Linked DNA regions of Notamacropus eugenii. The protein of the gene in region 2 purifies or fractionates together with the protein of the main gene of each other region. This does not show direct contact. Links are inferred from orthologs where the notes say so. Each region holds a gene or a part of one and is shown on either strand. Other genes may lie near its edges.

Evidence for each region.
Region 1: the proteins of PGM1 (region 2) and GRHPR fractionate together in Homo sapiens (co-fractionation; 3 studies listed by BioGRID). This does not show direct contact. The link is inferred for Notamacropus eugenii from reciprocal best matches to the Homo sapiens genes PGM1 and GRHPR.

The regions. Positions count from the first base shown.
Region 1 is NC_092874.1:317,103,167-317,107,074, forward strand, and holds the start of GRHPR (glyoxylate reductase/hydroxypyruvate reductase), read right to left. Parts: upstream 2,859-3,908; 5' UTR 2,792-2,858; coding exon 2,706-2,791; exon of another isoform or gene 2,577-2,705; intron 1-2,576. UniProt on the Homo sapiens protein: Enzyme with hydroxy-pyruvate reductase, glyoxylate reductase and D-glycerate dehydrogenase enzymatic activities. Reduces hydroxypyruvate to D-glycerate, glyoxylate to glycolate, oxidizes D-glycerate to hydroxypyruvate.
Region 2 is NC_092873.1:524,162,058-524,165,965, forward strand, and holds the start of PGM1 (phosphoglucomutase-1), read left to right. Parts: upstream 1-922; 5' UTR 923-1,121; coding exon 1,122-1,367; intron 1,368-3,908. UniProt on the Homo sapiens protein: Catalyzes the reversible isomerization of alpha-D-glucose 1-phosphate to alpha-D-glucose 6-phosphate. The mechanism proceeds via the intermediate compound alpha-D-glucose 1,6-bisphosphate.

The DNA.
Region 1 (3,908 bases), on a different chromosome or scaffold from region 2:
AAGACTCTTTCGATAATGTCAGTTGTGGCAAATGCAATTGGCCAGCATTTGGTGCTTTGGAATGACCAAAATTCACCTTTATTAATGTGGATTTTCATGGTATTAAATCCCCAAACCCAAATATCTTTTATTTTGTCCTTTAAATAAAAAAATTTTTTGTTGTTATTATCTTGTACCTCTAACACACCTCTTAGGTACAAATTTTTTTTACTGGTTATTGCTCATTATTGGTCTGAATATATCATGCCATTAAACTGAGATCTCATTAAAAATAAAAAAAGATATTCCTTGAAAAATAATTACACAAAATTATGTCAAAGGACCTATGATTTCCTAGCCATCCAAAGCAAAGCTTAACCCTTCTATATAATTAGTAGACTAGGTTTAAAGCTTTCTGAAACTCAGGGTATAAGTGAAAAAACAAAACAAAACACTTTTTGGTGTCAAAGCCTGAATCTTTGAAGTCAAATTTTTAATGACTGCAAGTCCAGCACTTATCCACTGCTTCTGAGAGCAAGGATCTAGGGGTAAGGGAGTGGGAAGGAAATAAGGGCCTACTGTATGCCAGATTATGTACCCAGCACTTTACAAATATCATATCATTTGATGCACAGGAAATTATATTAAAACGTATTTACTATAAATATTTAAAATCTATTTAGTTCAATGTTTTATTCATTTTTATCATCATTGTTCTCTGTCTTCATTACTTCCACTGGTACCATTCTTTTCCTTTTTTTTTTGGATAAGGTTTTGTTCTAGTCAGACTAGGGGAGGTGGGTACATCCTGCATTGGGGCCAATAACAAATTGCGGTTTCTTTACAAGCTTATGAAGTAAGTAGTGAGGTATTATCTTCACATAAGAATTCTTATTACAACATTTTAACAAGTTATGATGAGCAGACCTGCGTAAACTAGACCTTAACTTTTCAGAAGGAAGAGAATGAAAAACCAAGTTGGCTTGACTGACCAACCACTTACTCTCTTGCTTCATAAGAATAGTAAAGTATACATGTAGTGAAGTATAAAGTCCTTCAAAAGTAAAGTATTAACAAATTTTATCTTGTCATTGATTGCAGAGTAGGACATGAGGGGAGGGTAATCTCAAAAGAATAAAGTCAATTTTACTGTTTGCCCTTTCATGAAGGGGACACTGGGTCGGTGTACAGAGTGCCAGGCCTGGAGTCAGGAGGACTTGAGCTCCTATTCAGCCTTAGACACTTATACTAGCTGTGTGACCCTGTTTGCCTCAGTTTCCTCATCTGTAAAATGAACTGGAGGACATGGCAGACCGCTTCAGTATCTTTGCCAAGAAAACCTCAAGTGTCGTCATAAAGAGTCAGGCTCTACTGAAACAACTCAACAAAAACAAACGACATTAAGAAGGTGACATTAGGACACAGTCTATGACTTACAATATTCATCTGCCATCCTGGCTGCAAGAAAACCCACATAGAACAGATTCACAAGGACATGAACGACCAGCAAAGGGGGTGCCAGTCATTTAGTCACCCAATCCAGGATGGGGGGGGGAAGAGGGAGATGTTATGAGAGGTTACCTTCCTCCTCCACGGGAGGGGCAGTGATAATAACAGTAACAGTAGCATTGATACAGAGTTTCAAGGTTCTTCGCACGGCTCTTCCTGCAGCATTTTTGGCTCTCATCATAATCCTGGGAACTAGGTGCTCTTATTACACAGCCGGGCACCAAAGCCAGCAGGAAGCCCAGCCAAGAACCTCCATACAACCGCCCTGGCTTAAGAGACACGCAGGCACGCTTCTCCTTCCACAAAATTAAGTGAAACCTTATTTTTTTAAAAGATGTTCAAAATGCGCCCAAAGAACAAGAAGTCATACCGGGACTGGGTAAATCATTATCCGGATTGGGTAAACAATGACGAGGGCACTTGGCAGCACCCCCCAGCCTCGTGGCTTCACCCCGCTAAGAACAGTGAAGAACTGCCCCAGCCTGACCCTTGGGACTGTGAGTCTTTGAGAGAACCTCAGGCCGTGGCCCCAGAGCTGGGGGGGCTCCCCCTCCCCCACCCCCCCCACGGTCCATTTTACGAGTGAGGAGACTGAGGCGCTATGGTTACCCCGGCCAGGCCAGGCTGACCGGCACAGGCAAGGCCTGCGCCTTGTCGAAGGCCCCTGCGGACCTCCTCTGCAAAAAGGACCGCTGGCCCGGCCCGCCGGGGGGGGGCCCTCGGTGCTTCCTGCGACCTTTGGACCGGACCGGACCACGCCGCGCTGCGGGGGCCGGGCTGGGGAGGTCGGCAGCGGGGCCGGCGGCGGGGCCGGGGAGGGCGGGCTGGGACGGCCGGGCTGGAGGGGCCGGGCCGCGGAGGCCGGCTCCGGTCCCTGGAGCGCGTCGCCCTTGTCCCGCTCGCCCCCCTGCGCCCCAGGCCGGCTCCCCACTTCTGCCCCCCGCACCCAGGCGGACACTGGACCTGGGGATCGCCCGGGCCAGCTGAGGACACCTGGGGGCCCAAGTAGGACAAGCGCCGGGGGCGCGGGCTCGGGAGGGGACGGGGCGCGCGGCGTGGGGTGCAATGGGGCCGCCGACCGCACGCACCCCGGGCAGCCTCGCGCGCGGGGCCCAGGCTCCGCCGCTCCACGGCCGAGAACGTGGCCGGGCGCACGGGCTCCGGGGAGTCGAGGCCCGGCCGAGGTGGGGGGTCGGAGTTGGGGGCGCCCCTCTTACATTCCGGCCTGGGCCAGCACGGCCTGCCCCTCGGGGGGCATCCTCCGGGTGACGAACACCTTCATGAGTCGCGCAAGGAGCCTCATCTGTCTGCGCCTCAGGGGAGGGCTTAAGAAGCGGCCTCAGCAGGGGGTGGGCGGGGGCGGGGCCACAGCAGGGGTTGGGTGGGGGCGGGGCCTCAGCCTCCCGAGGCGTGGCCACGCTCCGGCCACGCCCCCGCTCCCTCCGCCCCTCCCGGGACCCTGAGCCGGCCCACTCCCCGCGGCAGCTGCGAGGCTCCGGGCTCGGGCTGTGGCCCAGCACCCGTGCGCAGGGACAGCGGCTGTGCCCGCGTCCTCTCCCTCCGCTCCTGAGATGGCTGAACACTTGTTTGGTTTCTGTCGCACAAGTCTCTCAGTCTTTCAGAGCTTCAGCCACACAACGCCCTTCATCAATAAGCGAGCAGTTCTTTATTAAGTTTATTAAGGGTAGAAATGAATGCGGGAACAACCCCCGAGGCAAAGACCTGGCACTGCAACATGAGAATATAAATGTCATAGGAAAGAGGAGGCTCTCAGACATGGTGGACAGAGCTGGTCATCTGGCCCTGGGACTCCTCAGAGAGAACCATGGAAAAGAAGAACTGTCATGGAAAGGCGGTGTAAAAAGGAAAACCCAACCCAAACCAGCAGAACGGTTTGAGGTAGAAGCAGTTCCTGTGGCTAACTTCCTCATGAAGCCTCCTTTCTCCAGTTAAAACTGCTTACTATGAGCTGGGGTCAGTGATCCGGTCGCAGGACTTGATCTCTCTCTCTGCTTGTGTGTGTGTGAATTATAGAATAATAAAAATCCATAAGATTCTCTTTGATTTTTCTCTGCAGCCCCCAGCTGGGACAAAATTCCGACACTTCTGACAGTCTGTTTTCTCTCTCTTTTCTCTGTAGACCTTGTCTGTCATTGTCCTCTCTGGCTTTCCATTCCCAGGGGTGAAACTCATGCAAATAAATTGCTAGGATCTATCCTATTTTATCTTAAGCTGACACCCTGTACTAATTAAACAGAAATGTAAAAGAAACTTCAAAGGAAGGACATGCTTTGGATTTGACACTGGTTCTTTACACAGAGGGGAGAGATGCAGGGGAAGAGGGGGGGACGGGCAAATCACCATCTGGTATCATTTCTCCCCAAGGGAGACCACCTAGACCCTCCTTTCCCTTTTGGTCT
Region 2 (3,908 bases):
CCTAGACTGTGATGAGATCTTGAGGGTAGAGACTGTCTTTTGCCTTTCTTTGTATTGCTAGTGCTTACCACGATGCCTGGCACCTAGTAGGGGCTTAATAACGAGGCAACTGCGTTACAGTGGATGGAGAGGCTGGACCTGGAGGACCCGAATGCAAATACAGCCTCAGCGGTTAAGAGGTAAGAGCCCAGGCAAATTTCTTCATTTATCAGCCTCAGTTTTCTCATCAGTAAAATGGGGATAAAAGCCCCTACCGGCCAAGATAAAATATGCAAAATGCTTCGCAAACCTTACTAACCTTGTAAATTGTTGACTGATGGACTTGGCAGCTCTAAATATATGATCCGCCAAGGACAGTGGAAAGGGTTCATAGTAGAGGACCTGGTTTCAGATCCTGGCTAGATCACCTGCCTCAAGTCATGGCAGACTGAAAGAGGGACCTTTGCTACTGTCCGGTGGATCACAGATTTAGAACTGGAAGGGTTCTTAGCAACCATTCAGTCCATTTCACAGATGAGAAAAGTGAGGCCCTGAGAGGCTCTTGGCCCCAGGTGGCACAGGGTCTGAAGCCATGGAGATTTCTTCCTAAACTGTGGCATCTTCTCAGCCCAAATTCCGAAGTTCTTTCCTCACTCCCACTGGTTACTAGGAGAGCACCTCACACACCTCGCGTAGGAAAACAGCCAGGGCCCCCAAGAGGAGAACATGCTCTTATGTCCCACCACTGGAGCCCGTGGCCCTTTGGTCTGCAGGGTGTGTACGGGATTGGTTTCTGAAGTGTGAGTTGATGAGAGGAGGGCAGGCCGGGCAGTAAGGCCCCACCCATGAGTGGTGGGGGTGGGGAGCCACCTTTCTATGTCCCTCCTGGCACTAGCTAGTGGGTGGGTGGTTCGAGAGAGGGGGAGGTCCCAGGTCGCTGTCTCTTTAAGGAGGGCCGAGTCTCGGGTGTGTGTGAGTGTGACACAGCCTTCAGTGCTCCAGAACAGCTGGTGAGGCCGGCGGCGGCAGCAGGAAGGCAGCCAGGCCAAGGCAGCAGCGGCAGCAGGAGGGCACTCAGGCTAGGCCAGCGTCGGCGGCAGCAGGAGGGCACCCAGGCCAGGGCAGCGGCGGAACCCCCCACCATGGTGAAGATCGTGAAGGTGAAGACTAAGGCGTACGCGGACCAGAAGCCCGGCACGAGCGGGCTGCGTAAGCGGGTCCGAGTGTTCCAGGAGAGCGCCCACTACGCGGAGAACTTCATCCAGAGCATCCTGAGCACCGTGGAGCCGGCGCAGCGGCCCGAGGCCACGCTGGTGGTGGGGGGCGATGGCCGCTTCTACATGCAGGAGGCCATTCAGCTCATCGTGCGCATCGCCGCTGCCAACGGGGTGAGGAGCCGACGCGCGTGGAGGGAGGGCGCGTGGGTTCGGGGGGCCACGTCGGCCTCGATCGCCCGGGACTTCTGTCTCTCACGCACAGCCCGAGGGTCCTCTCACGCCCCCTAGTCCGGCACGTATCCCACGAGCGGGCCCTCGGGCTGGGGGGGAGGGGACGGCGGAACGGGGAAGGGCGGGGCTTGGGGCGGGCTCCAGTCTTCACCTTGGGCGGCCCCTTCCTCCCTCTTCCCCATCTCCCGCCCCCGGGCTTTTGACATTTAAAGTAACCTTTCCCTGAGATTGTGTTACTGGACTGCGCCTTCCGGCCCGAGCTGGGGTGAGGCCTGGGCCCCCGCCCGGGATCCCGGGAGGGATTGGGGCACCAGCGCGCACCCCGTGTCTTCCTGGGTCTTTCTGTTCCCGGGGTTGCAAGCTCTTCCCTCCACCAACCTCGCTAGCCTGTGTCTGGCACCCGGGGGAGGGAAGCTTTCCCAATCCCACTTCCACTCCCGGTCATATATCTGGATCTCTCCCCACATTTTTATTAGCGCACTCTTAGGCACTCTTATGCAACGGGGCTGGGAGGCGGGTCGGGTCAGGCACCCACTCCTCTCGAACCCCGCCGCTCACACTAAGCCATCCCGGGCCTAACTGGGGAGGCCTTGCTACCTGCTGCCGAGGCCGATAAACCAGCCAGGTTAGGATGTGCTGGGGCCTGGGTGCTCCAAGCTTGGAGCAAGGCCAGGAGCTCAAGAAATGGAGGACCCACCAGATAACACTGTGCCCAGGGATCCCCGCTAGAGAACAGCCTGCTGCCAGGGTTCCTCAAAAAGCAGCTTCACTTGAGCATTTCAGATCTAGAACTCAGGGTACACTTGAATTGAACCAGTGGGCTTTCAGGGTTTGCTTTGGTTTTTTTGGAAACCTCCACAATCTAAATTTGGCCTCACTTTATAAAGACCAACCTTATGGCCACTCCCTAAAGATAACTTACATTGGACAGCACTCTATAACCCCACCCCCCAGACACACACACATACGTGAAGGCACATAGATAATTCTATGGGTTAGAGTGGAACTGGAATGGTTCTTTCTGAGCCGCCTCCCTTTTAAAAATAAAGGTTCCCATTCTCTAATCCTATGACTACCTCTATTTTATGAAGAGGTAAACTGAGTCTCATTGATCAGGTACAGTGTCTTTGAGCTAACTGTTAGGCCCCTGAGAAGCTGCTGCAATACCTCAGATTTCTGCTTAAATCTGGTCAGACTTGGTTTCATTCTCTGGTTGCTAGTGACCACTTGGCACCTGGAACTTCAGTGAACTGTCCACTTGTGTTGTTGTTTTAAAGGACTGGGAGCTTGCTACGTGCAGATCTGTACCAGATATGAAGTGTAGAGTCTTACAGAGCACTGCCCAGGGCAGGGAGAGCAGTGATTACTGTGACTTCAGGTGTCCGAACCAGGTCTTGACTCCAAGATTCCTGATTGGAAAAGTGGCCCTCTGGGGGGGGAGGGGGAGGAGCCGATTAACTTTAAAATAATCTTTGTTGATGAAAGAATTAAAATGATAGACTTAGAAAAATGAAAAAAGACTCTCCACGCTCCACATGGACCAGCTGAATTATAAGAATACCGAATGTGGGTTCGTCCTTCGTTGCCGAAGAACACCGTGCCTTCAGAGAAATGATGACATGATTTGCACTTGGCTTTGTTTTGAGTGAGGTCACCAGCCTCACTTCTCCTCCAGAGCCATCTGAAGCCAGTGAACAGATATTCATCAGGATGACTGGAGATGACCCAGAATGGGGCAACTGGTGTTAAGTAACTTGCCCAAGGTTGCACAGCTAGTGAGTGTCAAGTGTCTGAGGTGAGATTTGAACTCAGGTCCTCCTGACTCCTGCACTGGTGCTCTATCCACTGCATCACCTAGCCACACCTAATGCTTTAGTAAATAAGTCTTAGAGTGTTGCCTCAGGACCAGAAACTTTTTCTGGGGTATTCTGCTAGTATCTGAGGCAGAATTTGGGCTTGAGTTTTCCTGAGAGCCCAGCTCTCCCTCCCCTTAGTCAAGACACCTCGGAGATTATATAACTATTTGTTAACAAGGCTTTTGTTTCCTTTCTTGGAATCCGGAAGAGAATTTTGACTGTGGTTGGCGTGGCCTGCTTATTTATTTGTGTTTTGGTAGATCTGAGATTTCACTAGTGTTAAGTTCTTCTCCCCCACCTTCTCTTTGAGGAATCCAATCTTTCTCTATCTTCTTGTCCAGTGTACTTCATTGGCTTTCCTCCTTCTGTGCCTACCTGACTATCCACTCCTCCACATCCTTTCCCAGAGCTGCCTCTGAGTCTCACCCACTTAACCCTGACTCTGTTTTGACCTCTCTTCTCCCTGATCTCTAACTCAGTGTCTAACATCTATGTGTTCAATCGTCACCTCTGTGCAGATCTTGCATTTCTTCATCCAGTCCTAACCCCTTTCCTACCCTCCAAGTGGGATAGACATTTCACTCATCATCTTTCCCCCCAAACTTTACCACCTTCTGCACTTCAC